Linked DNA regions of Mytilus edulis. The protein of the gene in region 2 purifies or fractionates together with the protein of the main gene of each other region. This does not show direct contact. Links are inferred from orthologs where the notes say so. Each region holds a gene or a part of one and is shown on either strand. Other genes may lie near its edges.

Region 1 (8,231 bases), on a different chromosome or scaffold from region 2:
AAAAAGCTACTCAAGCAAATTCTTTCATTACCAACTTGCGTAGCAGATATAACTATCAACATCTTAACCGGAATATTGCCAGTAGAAGCACAAATACATATCCGAGCACTTGGACTCTTCAACAACATCTGTAACCAGCATGAAGAAAGTATGGAAAAATCGCTAGCTAGACGACAACTAACCGTAAAAAACAACCAAAGTGCTAGTTGGTTCGTAGCCATAAAACATATGCTCAGGAAGTACAATCTGCAAGAAGCTATATGGTACATGGACCATCCTGTCAAAAAATCCTTGTGGACCTCAAACATCAAGAGAACAGTGCATAATTACTGGAGCAAGTCAATAGTGCAACTACTGCCACTGTATAAAGGACTAGACCATCTTACAACGGGAAACCTTGACAAAGGTAAAATTAATCCTCTATTCAGAATTAACTGCCACTCAGCCATAGATACGGCAAGACTACCAGTTAAACTAAAACTGCTTACTGGATCATATATTCTACAAAGTAAGCGAATAAAAATGTATAAGGATGAAACCGATCCGAAGTGCCTGCTATGCTCAAAGGATGATGAAACTGTGACTCATTTCATATTACACTGCATACAACTCCGAAATATCAGGAACAAGATACTTCTAGAAACAGTTGAGGTACTTAACAGTCTTGGAATTAAATTTAATGAACTATTGGACAGTGAAAAGTTACAAATAATTCTGGACATCACACCGTTAGCAACATCAAGGAAACTCTCTCCAGCCAGTGTAGCAAAAGTAGAACGCCTTACTAGACGCTTGATATACCAGTTACATATAGCCCGCTATAAAATAGTATGTGGATGATAATTTTAATAATTATGACTCTAAAAAAAAAAAAAGGAAAAGATAATCGCTTCCACAGTAAAAAGAAGAAACTAATCAATTTTACAATAACATAACGAACCTATTTTAGCATATATATATACATACTAAAGTTATGCTAGTGATGACATATTTTTAAAGTGTGCGATCTTAAAGTGAAAATATTTTAGATTATATATAGAAAACAGAATCTTAAACAATACATGAAGGACCAGGGCTCACGCTACCAGGCGACTTGGGCGAAGAAGTCGCCTTCCCGACTGTCACTTCGCTTTCCCCGACCCCCAAAAGCGAAAACAAGTCGCCCTGTTCTTGACGATAGTCGCTTTCAGTCGCTTCCGTCATCGGACATAATTTTTTTACCAAGTTGATGAAACATCAATTTTTTACTGATAATTAAAGAAATTCAGACATAAACGATTCATTATCTTTAGAAAAGAGGTTGAAGCATTGTCTTCGCAGTGTGTAGCAGGTTATTTGATAAAAATACAACTTTTTATCACTTCGTGCATTTTCGCAAGTTCCGGTGCTTGTTACTCGAAAACGTACATCAACCTAAATTTCGGCGGCAAAATAAGTTTGTTACTTCATTTAAACGTGATAAAAGTTGCCTCCAGTAAATGTTTAATCCATTTATTGCATTAAAACCGTCATCTTCCTTTCCAAATAACTTGTCAAACATCGTTTATTTTTTTGTAAATTTTCTTGCATTCGTCCGCCATTGACCGATTTCTAAACTACGGATCTGAACCGGACCAGCTATGACCGAAATCCGTACTTTTACAATAATTACTACGGAGGCACGGATGGAACAGTTAACAGAAGAATATTGATTCCAAAGGGGAAAATTACGCATTCCACACGCATTAAGAGACTTTTGGTTACATCTAATTGATTAGTGTATATAATTCCCTATATTTTTTATGGATTGTTTCAAACTATTGATTAAAGTTGCTTAACTCTGAGACTATTATACTAATATCAATATATTATGGCCCAGCTTAATAACTTTTATATTTTTTTATGAGAAACACTGAATTTCATACACAAGATAATTTTTAATTAAATTGTAATTGATATATTATAATTTCTTTTTTTAAAATAATTTTTTTTTTTTAGGGCTAGATATTTAGTTGGTAGTTTCTCACAAGAACCTTAGTAAAACTTAAACAACTTTTAATTTCAAATGTTACTTTAATTGTAATTTTTTACTCATCATGCTCATATGAATTGAACAACATAAAAAGGACATTATTTACATATGGCCCTTTATACTATTGTAAAATCCAAACATTGTAGCGCACCGCGCGAATGAGCACTTCTCTTTCAAATCTCACCACTTCTCCATATCAGTTTCAAAAAGAGAAGTCACTTCTCCCTATAATTCTGAAGTAGTGTGTGCCCTGAAGGACCTTTTAGAAGAAATGAATATAACTTTTAGATAATTACTTTGTAATACAACTTTTAATTCATGAGGAAGAGGCATTCATCATTCTTTTATCTTCTTACCGTTTTTACCGCAATTATGGAATAGTGCTGTTGATATTTTTAAAGATCGATACTAATTTTTAAAGAATACATCTATCGGTTAGGGGTATAAATGTGATACCAGTGTATACATAAAGAAAGAGAGGAATTTTAAAGTATGTGACATGACTTTTAATCAACACAGAAACATTGTAAATACAGGATAACGGAATTGTAATATAATTGTGTGTGGATAGGATCTCACTGTGTATATAGTCTCAGCACTTCAAAGCATTTGGTGGAGGCATCACTGTATATTAGAAAGCCACAAGTTATACATACTAGCGTATGGTTCCTCTACAAAGGGGGTTAAAGATACAGAGGTAAGGTAAGGTTTGTCACACAATCAGGCTAAAGCAAGTTTTTAGTTCTTAGCAACATCTTTATCTAAATGTATCAGCTAACATTTTATACTATTGTATATTTACTTGCAACAGTGCATCCTGTCCTAAACCAGATGACAGAAATAATTCAGATGCTTTTATCCCAGTTATCCTGCCAGTCCCATCAACATCACATAATTGAAACAACTCCCCATAATTTCGTTGTTCTTGCTGGCTTAGTTTGAGCCCTTCCATGCCAGAATAAACACATATATGTACTATGTCAAAATGTTAACAGTGTCAGTTGTCTACAATTAAGTAGATTTTGTGAAACAGACTTAGTCAGGAAGTTTTCAACGATTATCCACCATGTTGGAAATTTATTACAAGTGTGATACACACTTCACAAAATTAGAAATGAAATAATATTAATAGAATTTTTTTAAATAATGCAAAGTTTAGCATATTATATTCAGAGTACAAAACGATCATTTCGGAATTAATAGAAAATATAATTAAAAAATAATCTGTGGCGCATCAATTAAATATATTTCGATATTGTCTTTATTTACTTGGATTTCGAAATAAGCTATCTATATAATCATATTGAAATAAAGTTAAAATAATTACTTATCATATTACAATAGTTATCAGTAAAAACTGCTAGCTTCTTTAATTTATTTTTTTTACTATAGAAAATGAATCGCAGTAAATTATTAAAAATTTGGCGCCATTGATGCGCATGAGTCTTTGTGCCGAAAGATCAACAGAAAGAAAGAAAATGACAGAAAAAGACGGTGGTAAACATTGTCTGTCAGAAGCCTTAAATGAGCTATTTTTATTATACCTTTCATAAGCTGTTTACTTATTTCTGCTATTAAGTGAGACTGCAACTACCCTTGACACAAGGAAACAAACAAAAAAGGGGGAAATGACCGGCCGGTCTACAAAACATTAACAACCAATGGGAGGTGACCTTAAAGTCTCTGACAAGAGCTCTCGACAGTCATTTGTTTAGCTATAGAACTGTAGCTATCTGGACCTACCTTATATTCTTATAATTTTGGATGGAATGAATGTCCAGTGAATAGTATTGCACAATGTCAATGGCATGCATTCAAGAAATTGTTTGACAAATTGTGGTTCCCAGACTCCAAGCAATATTTGCACACATTTAAGCAGGCATTTTAATGTTGCAGAAAAGAATACAGAAAAGTTCTTTAACTTGAAAAGTGGGGGGGGGGGGGGTCATTATATTTGGATCAACTTTTGTAAAAGAGGGATCCCATTATTTTTCATAATACAGAAGATATAAGATAAGATATAAGTCCAGGAATAATTCAAAATTCTTGTTTATGTTTATTCTTGATAAAACTTTGAAGGCACTAAAATTTATATTTCTGTTATTTTCATTTTCATTTTAAAAATTTTGTTCCAGAATTTTTTTGTTTGTTAATAAATCAAATGATTATTAATTGGCAGTATTCTGTGCTTTGGCTCTTATCAAAACGAAATACAAATGAATTGATAACAGAAATTTATATATATCAGTGATGTCACTAAGTTTTGAAGAAGCAGGCTGAATTTCTAAAATAAGCGCAAGTACATGCGGACGGCAAAGCCGTTCGCGTCGACGAGCTTGCTCGTCGCTACTACGGCGGGGGGTCTGGGGCCCGCTCAAGGGCCCCAGGATTTTTTTTTAAAATGGTGCAAAATCCTGCATTCTGGGGGTGTCCTAGACCCTTATTCAGACCTCTGAAAACATCATTTTTTACTGAAGATAATGTAAATGATTAACTAAAATTAGCAACATGATGGGTAAATTTTCTGTACATGTGATCACATCATTGATCATCTTGATGGACCAATATACATTTTTGTGCATTTTCCTGCAGGTTGACTGCTAGTAAATATTTTTGAACTGAAAGAATCCAAAAATCTTAGTTTGAATAGAAACATATTGTCTCTGGTTTGAATTATCACTTGAATAATTTAGTTTTAAATGAAAATTGTAATTGTGACATTGAGAACATTATAAATGTTTTAATTTTATATTAAAAAAGTGTTGGTTTTGTTTTTACAAAATTAAAAACAATATTCACTGACTAGTAGGCAGCTGGAGCTTCGATTTCAAAGTTAAAACTGTTACAGAGGTGCTATATTTTATAAAATCGTATGCTATCCCAAGGACGTATAACTAACATAATATACGTCCTTGGCTATCCCCAAAAAGATTTGAAAATTTAGACTAAAATTCCTGCATTCTGAGCATACCTGAGAGTGATTTAGATGCTTGGAAAAATGTTAATTTTGTCTTATTTTTGTTGTTGACTTCAATCACATTGATTTTTTTTTTAAATGAGAATCCGTAGTCCTGGCAAGGCTAATCTATATTATATTTTTTTCTGGGAAGGTGTCTTTTGTAAGACAACTAAGGAAGTCTGTTCTTGAATATATGTAAATAATACACAGGCAAGTGCCTGTGAAATAATAGGTGAAATATTATAATTTTATTTCAAAAATAATCGAATTTATTAAATATCTTGATCGATTTATTTGCGTACGTACTTAGTGACAAATGACCCCCTTTTATCTCATATAAGACTTGTACACGTATTTCAAACATGTTGTCAAGCTATGTCGTTTTATTTTCTCTTATTTGTTAACTGTTCAGTAATCAGTAAACTAAAATCCTTTTGAACTATAAAAGATATTTTTAAAAATTATTTGTGGTCGACAATATTCTACTTTCGTTATTGACCTTCATTCTCTGGACACCACGTGGTCGTGGGCTTTGAAATGTGAACTTCAAAAAGTGCTGTTTTCCAGATTCTTGACAACATTATATATATTATACTTTCTTTTATTTGACTGATATATTAATTTCCATAACATGCTATTGTCATCTTTGGCTTATTCCTTCTCTTGAGCCTCTTGAAGCAAAAACCAAACAGGGTCATAATGTCCATCGGAACGTCTCTCTTTTTATCCTTGCAAACATTACAATACTTACCGACTTTAAATAGACGACCAATCAGCGGACTGCATTTACGTGAACTATATTTAGTCAAAGGTAAACACTGATTTACATCCTTGTTTATCGGACTTTAATCGTGGAAGCTGATGCATTGAACAATTATTTTTTAATATTAACCTGATTATCTTTTTTATCTTATTAATTTTTTTTACTCATGCAAAAATAGCCGGCGGGAAAAGCACAATAACCGGCGAAAATCGCCGGCTGCCGGCTTCTAACGACATCACTGTATATACAGGGGTAAAAAATTAACTTTTTGCATCCAGGACTGAACCTGCCAAAATATGAAAGAAACTGAGGAGTACTTGTATACATCTGAGGCCAAATAAAAATATAAGTGTGGTTCCAGTTACATCCTTTTAAAAAATAGGTTGGCAATTTTTTTTTTGGAAATTGATTCCGATATTATATAAGCCAAAACCGGAAGTTCGCCATTTTACATGTTCTAGTTGAAAAATAAACAGTAATGTTACTTTTTTAGTTAATTTTGATTCATTCTATTCTGAATTTGATGAATTTTAGCCAAAGTGGATACTTCTGATGGAAATGCAGATGATAGAAGTCTTTGAATTTAGTTATTTAATTTCAAAATCCTCAAAATTTGATCGCTGGGTTCAAACTAAGGACAGTCGGGTAACTGGAATCACACATGTATTTTTATTAGGCTTGAGGTAGCAAACCAATGGCACTAAATAGAATAATTAAGAGTAGAGGAAATAATACAATTTTTGATATAAGATGTACATTTTTGTAAAAGGCAATCACCTAAACAAATCATTTTTGATCTACTTTTTGAGTGTCTACAAACAAAAATACTTTTTATTGTAGAAGGATTTGATGATGCTGTAGAAGAAAGAGTTATCAATGAAGAATATAAAATATGGAAGAAAAACACCCCTTTTTTGTATGATTTGGTAATGACACATGCTTTAGAATGGCCCAGTCTTACAGCACAATGGTTACCTGATGTCACAAGGTAAGATTTTCATTATATTCAAGGGACCTTGGTGTTTGATTAGTCTTAAGTAGTCTATATATAGTGATGAACAGTCTGTCAATTATGGGTTTGCGAGTTTGAACCCTGCTTGTTGTGAGGGACATTTGACTTGGATCTTGTTATGATACAAAGATCATTAACATGTCAATTCTGAGGCTATGTGTAAAAACTGCTCTCTGCGACTGTGAGGCTCTTTAGACTCTGATCTTAATTTATAATGTATGCTTGCTTTTCTGCTGATACATTTGGTTATATTGTGATCTCCAGCTTCCTCTGTCTATAAAAACTGATTAAGTCAATGGAGCCAAATGTGACACTTTTATTAAAACACCAACACAAATTTATTATTAGAACTGTTACTATGTTGATGCACACTGTCTCAATCCTTTTGGAGTTCATTCAAGTAAATTCCCTTAATTTTTATTAGTTCCCTTGATATGTCTCTTTTAAATTGATTTGCCAGATTTGAACACAAATAATAAACAAGTGTAGCCTTAGCGTTTCCCTCAGTTTTTGTTTGTTACCCTGATTTTGTTTTTTGTCCATCCATTTACGAGTTATGAGCAGCAGTATACTACTGTTGCCTTTACTAATAATAACTACGTATGATACTTGTGAAAGAAATCAGAATATGAATCAGAAGTGTTATTAGTACACATGTGAGAACATATTTCTTTTGTTTGTCTGGTTGATTTTTATAGATATACCTTTACTACATGTATATGTACATTTGTAGCCATGGAAATTGAAGATATTTTTCCTCTTTTTTTCAGGCCAGAAGGAAAAGATTATTCTCTTCACAGATTAATTTTAGGAACACACACGTAAGTATGCTGGTGTAAATATTAAATGGTGCCATGAGAATTGTCCAGAAAGGACACTCTTCTTAGAATCTTTTCAATTCATGATTATGTCACAACTTTATATTGGACGATAACTTTGATCTTAAAGACAGAGTGGTGTAACTGCACAACATATAGAAAATTGTGAAAATTAGTTACAATGTAGGCAAATCTTATCAGATTAGCACAATGAGAAAAAAAAGAAATACACATACAAATAAGACTGAGAAGTGATCTTAGAATACTTGCTGTTTATAGTGTAAGGTTATTCGCCATGTTTAAGGTCCAAATACAACTAATAAGAAAATCAGATTTCACATGTCACTAGAAATCAATAAGTCCACATGAAGTATGTTTGAAGTGTAAAGACATGAGCAACTTTTACAAGAAAAACATTACCTTGTGCAATGCCAAAATATTTAACTAATACCATGAATACACATGTATCCAAAGTATCACTCAATTATACATTGACAGATTTACTGAAAACTTTACTATTAAAATTTGTATGAGTTGCCTCCCTTTCAATAAAAAATGTCATTCCTGATTAGTATAGCCTTACAGGGTTATTTCAGGTATTATTTACATGTTGCTTCTAGGATATTGTTACTTGTAATATGTATTGATCTTGGAATAATAGACCTTTA
Region 2 (7,777 bases):
GCAGGATGTCGTAATACTCAGGTTTTTTTCTTCAAGGATAGGCATATTTTGGGACCATGAAAATGTCTCGGTTGAAGCAGGATGTTGGATTAAGCAGGATTCACTGTACTTTGTTTAAATTTGGAGCTATATTTTGTTCAGCCTCATGAATTTGTCAACTGCTAGTAAAACTCACCGTCCAAAATTTCATAAATTAGAACAAAGTTATTTTTTATATTTTCTTCTGTTATTTTGCCAAAATAAGACTGCATGACTTCCACCATCTTGAGAAGAAACTCAAACACCATAGAGGCATTGACATTCTGTTTGGTTACTGCGGCTAACCAGATGTTGGACCTTTTGATGTGGAAAAAACTGGTTCTGGCAATATTGGTTACAGGTGAACGGACTTGTTGTCTGGCATGAATGACATTGACCCTAAATGCATCAACTGCATTACGTCTGAAATATAAGGCAGCAATACTTTTTGTAAATGATTGCAGAATACATGTAGCACAACTCTACCACTAATTAATGTGTTGTTCACAAATAATTAACATATCAAAATAAAAGCAATCTTTGAGTGGATACTGAAAACAAAGACAAAGTTTAATTTCTTAAGAAAATGATGAAATGTTCATACAACAAAATTGTTGCCCTGAAAAAGGAAAATTACATATACTTTTTAGCCACTGCTCAATAATGAAATATTTGACATGCATGATATTAAACATAAGTTCAGGTGTAGATTGGGGAAGGGGGGGTAATTTATGTCTTAGAATTGGGAGCGACATTTTGCAAAGCATCCAGTTTTGTTTCATTGTTGAGCTATTCAACAAAGAAAATAATATATTATTGTGTCATAAAGTCTGTCTGACTTAAGGTAGCACAATGCAAAGATTTTTTACTTCCAATCTCCAACCTTTAATATGCTGTAACTTTCTTATGACTGCATGTAAATTAATAAAAGAGGTATATATAGATAAATAAAAGATTAATCTTTTAAATGAATGCAATATTTTTGTTCTGCAATCATTATGTTACAATTATTATGTAATTAACGGCAAAATCTTGGTCAGTTCACTTGTATGAATTTAGCTCTGTCATCTCTATAACTACACAAGAAATTTTAACGTTATCTTAATCAACACAGTAGGAGCTACAAAAGGGTGTCTCAAATTATGGCTATTGTATTCTATTCTCTCATAAATCTGTAATGAGTGTAAATATCCTTACCACATAAAAGTAGAGATTGTTTGATAAGGTGTAAAATTTGATCTCTACATTCTATCCAAAATCTGAGACACTCTTTTGTAGACAATGGCTATAGGAACAACATAGTATAAAATCAACCCTCTCTGGGTATCCATGAAGAAGCTAATTTCAATTGAAAGTGTAAATTTCTTGTAAAATTTTGTAGACACAGTTAAAATTATAATTGATTACATAATTGTTGTACAATACTAACATTGCATTAATTTGAAAGAGTAATAATCTGTTAGCTATCCATAAATACCAATTTAATAAATTTTCAAGCATTATAAAGAAAGTTACAGCATTTTAAAACTGGGGCATTGGAGGTATAAAATCTTTGTACTGTGCTACCTTAATTCAGTTTGTGAAACAACATGAAAGAATGAACACTAGAATAACCTTTTTCACAATCATTATTTATAAAACTTTAATTTGATAAGTTTACCCAATATCATCTCTGTATACCCTGGATATGAGGACCTCTCCTTTGTGGTTGTAAATAAATAGTCCACCAATCATTTCTTTATTTTTCTGTTACCTGAAAACCAAAAATACATCATGTATAGAAAAACCTTGATTGTATGTATAAGTTTTACCTGATATTTAGTTCAGTGTACACTACCAATGGATAAATAATTTAAGAAAACATTTATATATCAGTTTCAAAGGGTATACTGATCTTTACTGTATATTTTGTAAAGTAAAAAACAACTTTTTTACAGGTTCAAACATGTATAACCCATAAAAGATAAACATAATATTAATAATAAAGTAATGTGAGAAATAACTTTGATCAATAAATGAGTAACCGTGTTACCATGTACCACATCAAGAAACAAAGTACATGTAATACCATGAGACAAGTTGAGTCAAATATGATGATAGGATGATTGAACTCATTATCATGATCATAGATACTAGGATTGAAATTTTGTATTTGCACCTGACAAACGTTTCATCAACGGTATACAAAAGACTCATCAGTGAAGCTCAAATAAAAAAAAAGCTTTAAAGGCCAAATAAATTACGAAGTTGAAGAGCATTGACTGGTAGACTAAAACAGATGCCTCATAAATTGTATCAAGTTCTTGACTTTTTTAGTTACTATAATGCAGAGCTTTCAATTATTTGTTTAAGAACACAATTTGTCTCATTGGAAATTAAAGAAGCCACAGCAAGATTATTTATTTTGTTCAATCATGTTAATAGCAACACAACGATAAAGAAAGGTTTATATGTGCATATAAACTTTCAAAACAATTAGCTGAGCAAATCATAACAAAAACATTTACATTTGATCAACAATCATCTATCCACTCATTTGTTTTTGCTTACATATTATTCTGGACCAAATAACATTGTTTAATCAAATTGGGATAAAGAAGCTGGTGTGAACAGTCAACAGGGCCAACATATCAAGGGCTAGGGAGCATCACGTCAAAGACTTGGAGAACAGTCAACAGGGCCAACATATCAAGGGCTAGGGAGCATCACGTCAAAGACTTGGAGAACAAACTGGAAACATCAACAGGGCCAACATATCAAGGGCTAGGGAGCATCACGTCAAAGACTTGGAGAACAAACTGGAAACATCAACTGGGCGAATCAACCAGAGCTATTATAATAATAAATAAGCTTTATTTAGAGTCGGCAAGGTATACAAACATAGACAAACATAAGCTCTAATGAGATTTTAACCGACATAAATAATTGAATAGAATGAGTGTAAAAAAAACACAGATATAAGATTTAATTTTGACCTATACCAGTTATTCAGCAGACCAAATCTGTGTTAATTTGTTTGATTGTGGGTTATATCAAAATATTTAGTGATTAAACCCAAGAAAAGTGACGCGATGTCCCTGATGATACGCCCACTTGATGATTTGTACTGCTTCCAGTTATTCTATCACAGGAATTTCAATCAAAGAAGTGAATGTAATAGAAATTATTAGTAGTTGTTCATTAACTTTAAAGGAAAACATATATGTATCTTTTTTACCGGCACAAATTATAAATAATCATTTCTAATGAGCAAGAAAGAAAATCGAAGTGTGGAAAGATCACTTCCGGTTTCAGAAAAGTCAATAATATTAGAACCAAATCAGTAGTAACTTTAATTTCCGTATTTGCAGTATTAAATTTAAATCCTTATATTGATTCCTAAGCACCACAAGAATCCTTATAAGGAAAGGTATATTGCAGGTTCTTACAAGTGTTTCACTAAACCCCTTTCTAAATTTCTTACTGCCATACTCACTGCAGTCAAAGTAGGACTTCAGAAATATTCCGAAACGACATATTCAAGAAGTGGTGTTAATCAGATGTGGATATTGAAAAAATCAAAAGAGTTATTGGTGAATTTACAATCTCATTTATTAAAACAGTGTACCAACATTAAAACCTTTGATTTTTCAACTCTTTATACCACTATTCCACATACTAAAAACTTAAAGCTCGACTGAAAGACCTCGTCAACCTATGTTTCTTTAACAAAAAGGCTGGCACTAGACGTTTTTAAATATCATCTAGTTTTGGGCAGAAATTCAGCTTACTTTGTGAAAAATCATACAGGGTCAAGCAAAAAATACACCGAAGAGGATATCACTGTCATGCTGGACTTTTAAATTGACAACATATTTGTTGAATTTGGAGGTTTAGTCTTCCAACAGACTATTGAAATCCCAGTGGGTACCAATTGCGCTCCTCTACTTGCAGATTTGTTTTTGTATTCCTATGAAGCAGAATTTATCCAAGGGCTTGTACAGAAAGGAGAAAAGAAGTTAGCCCAGTCTTTTAATTTCACCTTTCGGTATATTGATGATGTACTGTCTGTTAATGATAATAGATTCAGTGATCACTTACATTTAATATATCCAAGTGAACTTGAAATTAAAGATACTACCGACACAGATAAATCTGCTTCATATTTAGACCTTTTTCTCGAAATGACTACTGATGGTAGGTTGAATACCAAAATTTATGACAAACGCGATGATTTTAATTTTCCTATAGTCAACTTTCCATTTCTGTGTAGCAACATCCCAGCGGCACCAGCATATGGAGTATATGTGTCTCAATTGATACGTTACTCTAGAGCTAGTTCAAAGTACGTTGATTTTGTTGAACGAGGAATACTGCTTTCTCAAAAGTTGCTAAGACAGGGCTATGAATCAATCAAATTAAGGTCATCACTCAAGAAATTTTACGGTCGTCATCTTGATCTGATTGGCAATTATGAAAAAAGTGTGTTAGAAATCATATCTGATATTCTTCCTCAGTCATAATAACCTTCCATTATTATCGACTGACTGAACAAAGAAATAACACGACGGATGCCGTATACGGTGCAGGAAATGCTTACCCTTCCGGAGCACCTGATTTCACTCCCGGTTTTCATGGTTTTTAGTGGAGTTCGTGTTGTTTTTTATTTCTTATTTATAACTATTGATGTAAATGTCCTTTGGTTTTGTGAGTCTTTGTTTACTCCTTGGTTTTGTTTGTTATTGTCTTTATCGTCCGCATTTTCTGAGTCGGACTACATTTTCAAGGATTTGTATAGTACTACTATAATTCATAGTTTTTGAAAATAAATGCTATCTTATTCTCATTGTCTTAAAAAAAAAAAGAAAGAAGTTCATACAATGCAAAAAGATTCAAAGGCGACCTGGTTTCCTCAAATGACCTTATGACCATTGTAAGATTTGAAATATTCAAATTTTAAATATAAGTTTATTATTTATTAAATGTTTAACTAACATATTCATTTATTCTTGTAAGAATAAGAAACACAGTTTTTACTATTTATTTATGAAAGCGCTAATGTAACGTTGCGCTCTTTTGAACAACACATTTTCCCGTTTCTGTTTTATGACGTTACGCCTTTGACGTGCGCTTCGTCGTCTAGACTTTATTTTGATAACATAAGGATGCACATTATTTTATTAGACAGATCAAAGTTGAGAATCGATTATTAGCGACCATATGATTTTTATAAAAGAATAAAAGATAGATACATGGTGCAACTTAACTCGCATACTCATTTCTTCGCCCTAAGTTAAACTTTATGTGATTCGTACAATTCTCAACTCTGGAGAGGAGGAAATTCTAAAATTGTGCCGAATTTTGACTATTTGTTAAAAAGAAAATGGCTACCGATAGACGGAAAGAAGACTGTCTGGACTTCAGTGATGTAAAACGGACTCGTAGTACGAATTTAGCGCAGCTTACTAAATTGTACAAAGAATTGGAGAAGAATTTAATTTCATATGAGAACGTGGAACATGCAAAACAATTATATTCAAAGTTATGTGAAAGGTTTGAACAATTTAAGTTAGCACACTTACAGTGTTTAGATTTGTGTACACAATCAGAAGTTATAGAAAATTTGGAAGTGAACTATGAACGTTGTCATGAGAACTTTGTAGAATTCCGGGATAGATTTTCTCAGTATATTGCGAGTGAAAAATCGCATGAAGAGGAAATACCCGAAGAAAGTGATACAGTTTCAATTGATAGCAGTTTGAGTTCACGATCTTCAGTTTCATCACAATCTAGATTTCGCAGTGCCAAAGCTAAGCGGCTAATCGCAGAACTTAAACTCAGGAAATTATCAGAACAGCATGAACTAGAGCGTGCACAAATAGAAATTAAATTTAGACAACAGGTATTTAATCAACTATCCGAGATGGAAGAGGCCAATATCGAAGAATCAGTGTGGCAAGAAGCAGTGGAAGAAGACACAGATAATACCAGTGGAATCGTGAACATTCGGAACATTTCGCAAACAGTCTCGCAAACATTACAGAGCTCTGTTCCTGCGAGTGAAAAGTGTATTAATATGAACTCTCTTTCCGGACAAACTGCAGCAACTGATAAACCAAAGATGAACATTAATAACAGTACACAGGGAATCAGTGCTCAGTCTGGATTTTCGGATGTAAGTGTTTCCAGCATAGATTCAGCTTTTCAACGCCTAGCATCTACACTTCACGAAGGGTTTAATTTGCCAAAACCAGAATTATTAACTTTTAATGGAACTCCGTTAGACTATGGAACTCCGTTAGACTATAGTAAGTTTATAAGGAACTTTGAGACAAACATTGAAGGTAGAATAAGTGATAATAGTTTGAGACTGAGTTATTTAATTCAGTACTGTAGAGGTGAAGCCAAGTGTTGTATAGAAGATTGTGTATTATTAGATTCTGATGAGGGTTACAAACGTGCTAGGGCAATATTGTACTCCCGATACGGTAGGCCACATGTAATTGCTAGATCATTTATTGAAAAATTAGTGTACGGCGCTCAGATTAAAGCGTCAGATATTGAAGGTTTATCTAAATTGGCATTAGAAATGCAAAAATGTGAAATCACATTGTCTCAGTTAGGTTTTAATTCAGATATTGATAATTCTAAAAATTTAAGGTGTATTGTTAAACGCTTTCCAATGCATATGAGAACAAGATGGGTCGACATTGCTCATTCAATTAGTGAGTCTGGTAGAGAACCCCGTTTTTCTGACTTAGCTAAATTTGTAGACGAAAAATCACGCATTGCTAGTTCTATGTATGGGTACGATCTTTGTAGAGAAAACAATCAGAACAAGACTGATAAAAGGGTTTTTACAAGTAACCATCATAATAATGATACAGTTAATAGTAAGGTTACTACGTTAAGTACTCAAAGTTTAAATAACACAGCTAAATATGAGCACAAATGTAAATGTTGTACAGGTACTTGTGTAGATTTTACAGCTTGTAGCAAATTCAAGTCAATGAGTTTAGATGATAGGTATAAATTAGTACGCATGTTAAAATTGTGTTATAATTGTTTAAAAGGGAAGCATTTTGCTAACAATTGTAGAAAACCAAAGGCATGCACTGTATCTGACTGTAATGTTAAGCATAATATTTTATTGCATAGTTGGTCTAAGCCCGGTTTTGATCATGCAGCTACTCAGCCTTCAGTTAATTGCGCAGCTACTAAAGGTTCTATGATTAAGAACTGTTTAGGAATTATTCCTGTCCTCGTTAAGGGTCGGAACGGTAACTCTTGCAAAACATTTGCCTTGCTAGATGACGGAGCAGATAAAACTTTATGTGATGAACGATTACTTCAGAAATTAAATATAGCCAGCAAGCCGGTCACTTTCGAGATGTCTACTGTTAGCTCTTCTGGTAGTACAATTCACGGTCAAGAAGTTGACTTACAAGTAAAAGCTATTGACGGAAATGATAACGTGTCGTTAAAAAAGGTCTGGTCAGTTAAGAAGCTTCCAATTTCTGCTCGATCTGCCGCAGAAAATGTAGATATAAGAAAATTGCCGTATTTGGCCGATATACAGATACCCTCTACTGATTTAACCGAGGTCATGTTGTTAATTGGTACAGATTCACCTAACGCTCACATTCCGTTAGAAGTAAGGTCCGGTAACGAAAACCAACCATATGCAATTCGCTCACGCCTCGGATGGGCTATTCGTGGTCCTATTGAAGATATGCATGCGTCAAATGTTATAAATGATGATAGAGCACGAGAAGACAAG
Region 3 (7,733 bases), on a different chromosome or scaffold from region 2:
ACCATTATCACTCAACTATATCAATGTAAGCAAAATTATGGGTGGGCTTAATAAATGGATGGAACATTTCATGAAAAGGTTATAATTAAGTTCACCGACCGGTTGCGCTAGGTAGGAGGGTCAAAAATAATTAATCAACAGGTAGAAATCTAATTACCGCATCATTATGACAGTTAGTTAAGTATCTGTCTGTACTGGTATTTGTTTATCTATCAAGTATACGGACTGCTTGGTAAATATCCCAATCTAGAAAGAATCAGTCTTTCAGACCGGAAATTGTCAAGGAAAAAAGGTATCTTGTCATCTAAATCTATCAATATGGCTGTTGACCGAAGAACAAACTCCGCGTAAATAAAGTAGATCGGTATGTCATTGATGGTTTTGGTAATAAATTGTCATGTTAGTACATATTGTACATGCATAAATAAGATATATGTGGAATTAAAAAAATGAATATTTACTTTCTGTCCATGTAAATTATAATTATATATTCCGGATGTAACAGTATACAAACACCGGAAGAAAAATAGTGCCAATGTGGCAAACGCTACGTCATTTTACAGTGACACCTGTTCAGTTATTATCTACCCTTGATTTTCCCGCCGTTTTATTGCCGTATAATTGACATTATGTCTTTGACCTTTTGAATTATTTTATGTTTTTCTTTTATCATTTATGCTTGTATAGTGAATATTTCCCTGCTTTTCCAAAACTTAATTCTTGTCATCTCACTATAGTATCAACCACACCTGACATTAGTCTACTAATTGTAAAACAGTTTCAGACCCGGTTCAGAAACCACACATTATTTAAGTTTTAAAGACGGTGAGTAATGGTTAAAAATAAATCATTGAACATCCATTACTGATCACACGATCATTACTTTCTGATATTATTGACATTATTCATGTAAAAGTAATAAAATGTACATACATTTATATAGCCTATAAAAAAAAATCGGGGTACCGTATTGTGCTTTTGTTATTCAGTTCTTAATGTCATTTTTGTTATATTTTTATGTTTTTATTATGAAACAAAGCCTGATTCTGAGATGTCATTGAACACACAGTTAAGTGTTGTGGTTAAGAAATGCTTACAAGATCATGATGTTTGCTTCAAATGCCATAACTGGAGAAAAAAATGTGGTATATGAGTGCCACTGAATGAGACAACTCTCCTTCCAAGTCAGCCACAATTTGTAAACGTAGTCTGATTCTCAAAATATAATATTTCTGTTGATTTTGACATACATCTAAATATTTAGTTCCGAATCTTGCAGAAAAAGATTATTTCAAAAATTCATTTGAACAAAAACTAGACAAAAATTGCATTTCTTTAGAGGAAGCCTCGGAGCTACCATTTAATTTGTATACGGGGGGAGGGGGCAAGATGACAGCCCAAGATAAGTGTTTTCATATAGTTTATTCATTGTTTATAGCCTCAAGATAAAGTTGTCAGCCATCATACATACAGTTGGTGAAAAGTACAACTGCCATATATTATTAAGCAAATATTGAAATAAACTACATTGTCAACTGTCTCAGAACATGCTAGTAGCAGAAGGAGATGGCTTTCTGGTGGGTAGCTGTATTCATATTTTTGGTCAAGTCATTATGGTAAACAAAGTCAGCTTTGCATGAAGTGCTGACTTGCACCAGGCAGAATAGAATTTGGCTGGATACTTGGTCTTCTTTGCTACTGGGGTATTTGGTGATAACATACGTTTCGGCATTTTGTCATATTATAAGATTATAAAGTTGTCCAAGACAAACATTCTTACAAAAAAAATGTATATATAGGTATTACATTGGCTTGGATGGAAAATAAGGCAAATATATATATATCATATTTGAGTTGATTTCATATGTGGGGGCATACATGTCTTTGAGATTCAGTAACTGTTCCATGTTTACAACAACATCAAAGTCGTTGTTTATACAAATAAAATAATTCTTAATCCAGTGTCTGTAAAAGACCTTTGGTTTAAATTTGTAGCACCCCTGATTAAGGGCTACTTTATTAATAGTTTTTTATTTATCATTTTCTTCGGTGAATTTCTCTCTTGGCCCTTTTGGTCTTTTAATAGACTTCAATGAATCTTTAACTGTTGGGGACACATAGCCTTCGATTTTATTTTTCATCTTTGTTACTAAAGTATTTGCAGAACCGTAGCTCTAATGTCCTAATGATATTTTTTTGACAGTTCGAGGACCATAGAGCTAGCCTACAGATTATATATGGTATGCAAACTGTAAAAAAATATCATAAAGATACCGTAGCTCTAAGCCAGACTAAGGTCCTAATGATATTTTTTTGACAGTTCGAGGACCATAGAGCTAGCCTACAGATTATATATGGTATGCAAACTGTAAAAAAATATCATAAAGATAGCTACCATCAAAGACAAAGTACAGTATGATTTTGGTCTCTTCTGAAGTATATCATAAAGATAGCTACCATCAAAGACAAAGTACAGTATGATTTTGGTCTCTTCTGAAGTGCAGCCGCAGGCCTGTTGTCGCACACATACATATAGAAAAGGCCAGTTTATGGCCTATTTTTATTTTAAAACTGGATGTGTTGGCCTCTTTTGTTTCAAGCCAAGATGCACTTTTTTTATTTGACGGAGAACCTCCTTTTGTTCTTGATTTCCTTTATGCCGGTTTCTGAAGGCATCATGGCGGACATTTTGAATGATCTTGTAACCTCAGATTTGAAAGAGTCTAATAGTAAAATGCCGTTATATATTCATTAAGATACTGACGCAATGCAAATGAAATGCATCTTGGAAATCTATTAAATATCAAAAAAACATTTTCCTACCTTCAAGTGTCGGATTTACTGCAGTTTGAGCACGACTTTCATCGAACATTCATTTTGTTTACCAACAATCTTAAGTTCAACCTTTGTTTTTTAAGACGAAAGGCGTTTAAACTTTTCATTCTTTGTTTTGGAATACAAGTTTTGATCCTACCAATGGTTTATACGTCCTTAAATTCAGGATCCTGTGGTAAACACTAGAATTTTTACTATTTAAAAGTAACTAGGAAGCACATATTCTCTAGTCGGCCATGTTTCCATGTATTTTCCGCGTCAGTTTTCCTGGTGCTCTCTATCACGTCCGCGTTATTAACTTAAACGAAGCACCTGCAGAAATTTTATCATTCTTGTTTTATCAAGTAGTCAGCGAAAGTAACAAAGATGCCAAGCAGCCCAAGAAAACGTTCACGATCCAGGTCTAGGAGCAGGAGCAATTCTCCAAAGAGAAGTCCAGCAAAGAAGGCCAGAAAGACCCCAAGAAAGCCAAGAGCAAAAGGTGGAGTGAAGAAGCCAACAACTTTATCCTTGATTGTTGCTTCCATCCAAGCCATGAAGAATAAGAAGGGATCATCTGTCCAAGCCATCAGAAAGTACATCCTGGCCAACAACAAAGGGGTTAGTGCAGCTCGTCTTGGAACTGCCATGAAACTAGCCTTTGCAAAGGGATTGAAATCGGGTGTTTTAGTCAGACCAAAGTCATCCGCTGGTGCATCTGGTGCAACTGGTAGCTTCCGTGTTGGTAAAGCACCTGCTTCACCCAAGAAAAGGGCAAAGAAAGCAAAGTCACCAAAGAAGAAAGCAAAGAAACCCAAAAACAAGTCAAACAACGCCAAGGCTAAAAAGTCACCCAGAAAGAAGACTGCAGTTAAAAAGTCATCGAAGTCCAAGGCAAAAACATCAAAAAAGCCGAAATCACCCAAAAAGAAGGCCGCCAAGAAACCTACAAAGAAGAGAGTAAAGAAATCACCCAAAAAGAAGGCCGCCAGGAAGTCTCCAAAGAAGTCCAAGAAGTAGACCCGAATCAACAGATTAACGACAAAACCAAAGGCCCTTTTAAGGGCCAACCAATTATTTCAAAAAGAGTCTTTATTTGTTGTATCAGTAAACTTCTTCTCAAATCCGAAGACCTTTGCCATCTTCTACTAGTTTCTTCCAAATTTCAACTTTTTATCTTTTATTTTATTATACTTCAGATTTCAAACTAGTTCCTGTAAATCGCATAGAATGAAATTCAAAACAGTGTGGCTGTGGCCATTGATTGACACATTAAATTCATCCATTGACTGGGACAATTTACGTGAACGTTTGTCTGTAACGACCACTGTTCACGACGTACCTACGATAGACATTTAAACTGTGGGGTCACCAAAGGTTTCTTAACGCCTTTAATTATAAAATAATTCAAAAAATTAATCAGGAATAACTTTTATGTTTTGATTTATATAATTGATATAAATCAAAACATCTTGTTATTTCTGATTAGTTTTTCGAATTACTTTATTAAGGTGTTGAGAACCTTTGGTGACCCCATAGTTTAGGTGTCTTTAAAAAGTACATAGTGAGCAGTAGTTGCTACATACAAACGTTCACTAAATTGTCCCAGTCAATGGATGAATTTTATGTGTCAATCAATGGCCACAGCCACACAGTTTTGAATTTCATTCTATAACCGGCATAGTGAAAATTTCAATAAACAAATCCATAACAATTATTCCTTATCTGCGCAGACATTGATGAAAGGATATTCGAAAATCTTGAGAAAAACTCCCCTTTTTACTAGTATCTGTTGAGTTTCGAGAGGCTATTTATTAGGGTCAGAAAGTTATTGAAAATTTTTGATATCTATTAGGAGTAATACTGTTAGTGTACGAAAAACGTAAAATGCGTAGCATATATGACATCAGATAACAAATTATTAAAATTTAAAATGAAATGACTTCACATGAAATTTTTATTTTGTTAAAAATGACCTCGTATTCATTTTTTTTTAATAATTATGTTCTTTTTTTTACGAAATATTGAGAATTTGAAACATCTGCATATATGAACTAAACAATGCGCACTTCAAAATTAAACACTTGCAAAATGACTTGGACGTATTCAAACTGGCATTGAACTGGCATTGATTTAAAAAAATAAACCACAAAATGTTGGAAATAATTGTGCATGTAAATACAGTTTATCTTTGAATCTTCTGAAAGGTCCATCGGCAGAGCCAGCAACCGGTATTACAACCCTTGTAATGTTTTGCCATTCTTAAATATATAATATATATATGCACTACAAATTGCCTTTTTGCAAGATGAAGAAAATAAACACAATCAGTTACTAGTAATATTTTTTAGCTTTTCACGAGAATTTATCATGTCACGGTACATTTACGTCACATAAGTTCTTTTCAATTTTTAATAACAAGTTAAAAGTTGTACCAGATGGTCACGCTAAGCTGGATTTGTAACATGTAAACCTGACATATATTTCACGCTTATTATTACTGATAAAACTGGTAGGAAAAAAATCATGAGGAAAAATTTGGAAGGTTGACTTCATTTTTGTTATGGATTTTTGTTTAAAATGCCTACACGGGATCTTGATGGGGCTCTTCCTTTTTTTAATTTGTAACTTTTTAGTCCATTTTCTTTATTTATTTTGAGCTTTATTCTCTGTAACAGTGTTCTATACATATCTTGACCTCCAGACCTCTTATAGATGTTCAGTTTTACGATCTATAGTGGATAGTTGTATCATTTGCAAAAAAAAAATTTATCAGTCTTGGTTTAAATAAAAGCTGACCATAATCAACAGATTCCTTTTGATATTGAGGGTAATTATATATGACAAAATCAACCAGATGTCAAATTTGTTCAAATGCAGTACAGGTAAAAAGCTGCCGGTCAGAGTAACCTACTCTTGTTAAAAGAGGGAGAAAATATAAATGGAGCAACCAAGGACCATTCTCAATTTTACAATTGGTCGAAAATAAACACTTGATCAAAAAAAAAAACATGACGAAAAGATAAAAAAAAAAAATCCGCACTACCATTTTCTGTGTTCAATGGACCGTGAAAATTGGGGAAAATCTCTAATTTAGCATTAAAATTAGAAAGATCATATCATAGGTAACATGTGTACTAAGTTTCAAGTTGATTGGACTTCAACTTCATGAAAAACTACCTCGACCAAAAACTTTAACATGAAGCGGGACAGACGGACGGACGCACAGACCAGAAAACATAATGCCCATAAATGGGACATAAAAATGTCCACACAACACTACACAACAATACTTACTTCACAATAAAACGGAAGTGAACTTTACTAGGTAGTCCGCGGAAAGGTTAGTAGTTCCACTAGTGACACCCTCTGTTCAAATACGCCGATGACATCACCAAATCAACCAACTCTATGCATATAAATATTCTAATAAAAATAGTTCGACTAAAGCCAGTCCCAATGTCCACTTTCGTCAAATACATGCATTTGGTGTAAATCTGTTTTGCCCACTTTTATCTTTATTGTAATGTTATTCGCCACTCTTAGTTTTCTTAAGGGACTTGGACAATTTCAATGACCTATGGATGAACAATATGACACACGGTCACGTTGACCCACTTTACTACGAAATCTGTGACACCTCTTTTAAGTCATTTTATAGTATCTGCATGGTACCTGAACTAGTCCTATACATTAAATATGAAAGTTGGAGGCATTAACTAGTAAGTTACCTCTATCTTCTTTACAAGTTAAATGAATGCGATTAAGTGTCTGATATTTAGCTGTAGATAAGTCAATGTGACCTACTTTTGGTGATACGCAGTAATAATGTTTTTGGTGGGGTTCTTGTTGCTTAGTCTTTAGTTTTCTATGTTGTGTCTTCTGTACTATTGTCACGTACCGGGGGTACGCAACTGCGTTACTCTGGGTTTCGTACCAGAGTCGTTTCTCTGGATACAGTCAAGGCTCAAGAATTGGTAGCGTTATTTTATCAACTGAGTATTCGGATTTTCTTTATATTAATGCTGGGCTTCCAAATTAAGAAGTCTTTGGGTAATAGACGATAAATGCCAAGGATGATAGTGAATATCTTGATATACTTTTGATTAGCCAATGCTTTCTAAAAGCAACGTATTATTAATATACTGAGCCAGTGCTTTACTTGTAGCCACTGCTTTATATCTACTTTATTTGGGCCAGTGCGTGTGTTGGACTGTTTGGTCACTTCTTTGCTCTTATTCAATGCTTCTCTCTGCAGCCACTGCTTCTTCAGCAGCTATACTTATTTAATCACTTGGCTCCTTACTCAGGGCCACTGGAAATACTTTATTTTGTATACCGCCAATGCTTCTTTCTGAAGCCACTGCTTCTTCAGCAGCAATTACTGAATTAATCAATTGGCTCCTTATTCAGGACCACTGCTTATAATTCTTATTCAGAACTATAGATTAATCTCACCTTTCTTCTTCTCTTGTATCCAACTGCTCGGCTTGAATTCTAAACCCAGAACAATGTGAACTGTGAAAACCTTGGTATATATAGTAAATTGTAGACTCGTCCATACAATAGACTATTCCAAAAACGACTTTATCACTAAAACGTTTTACAACACCTAAGCATATATGATATAACAAAGCACTATTGTGACGGTTATATACTTTGTAACAACTGATCATGATCGTGGGAATTCCGGATTTATAGGTCAATTCCTGACCCCAAAACAATTACTACTCACCCAGTAAAATGTAAACAAATCGAAAGTGAAAGTAAAACAATGTGTAAATAAATGAAGGGAATGAATGATATTTCTTTCTGTTGGACTTTACAATCGGATTATAAAATAAGCAAGAACCAGGTAAGTTTGCAAATTCATCACACTATTATTTGTCTGTTCGTATTTTTATTTTTGGCCATGGCGT

What was found. Proteins that work in one complex are often made in the same cells at the same time.
Region 1: the proteins of AP-2 complex subunit mu (region 2) and ralBP1-associated Eps domain-containing protein 1-like purify together in Homo sapiens (affinity purification with mass spectrometry; 3 studies listed by BioGRID and IntAct, counting the BioPlex papers as one, with this or other methods). This does not show direct contact. The link is inferred for Mytilus edulis from reciprocal best matches to the Homo sapiens genes AP2M1 and REPS1.
Region 3: the proteins of AP-2 complex subunit mu (region 2) and AP-1 complex subunit gamma-1-like purify together in Homo sapiens (affinity purification with mass spectrometry; 3 studies listed by BioGRID and IntAct, counting the BioPlex papers as one, with this or other methods). This does not show direct contact. The link is inferred for Mytilus edulis from reciprocal best matches to the Homo sapiens genes AP2M1 and AP1G1.

What each region holds. Positions count from the first base shown.
Region 1 is NC_092353.1:79,518,569-79,526,799, forward strand, and holds the start of ralBP1-associated Eps domain-containing protein 1-like, read right to left. Parts: upstream 3,102-8,231; 5' UTR 2,964-3,101; coding exon 2,814-2,963; intron 1-2,813. Other genes in the region: histone-binding protein RBBP4, read left to right, coding at 3,445-3,508, 6,574-6,721, 7,516-7,566. UniProt on the Homo sapiens protein: May coordinate the cellular actions of activated EGF receptors and Ral-GTPases.
Region 2 is NC_092356.1:16,485,261-16,493,037, reverse strand, and holds the start of AP-2 complex subunit mu, read right to left. Parts: upstream 3,338-7,777; 5' UTR 3,236-3,337; intron 1,772-3,235; 5' UTR 1,753-1,771; coding exon 1,679-1,752; intron 442-1,678; coding exon 176-441; intron 1-175.
Region 3 is NC_092348.1:64,384,678-64,392,410, reverse strand, and holds the start of AP-1 complex subunit gamma-1-like, read right to left. Parts: upstream 3,102-7,733; 5' UTR 2,824-3,101; intron 825-2,823; exon of another isoform or gene 473-824; coding exon of another isoform or gene 462-472; intron 357-461; exon of another isoform or gene 158-356; intron 1-157. Other genes in the region: sperm-specific protein PHI-2B-like, read left to right, coding at 3,202-3,834. UniProt on the Homo sapiens protein: Subunit of clathrin-associated adaptor protein complex 1 that plays a role in protein sorting in the late-Golgi/trans-Golgi network (TGN) and/or endosomes.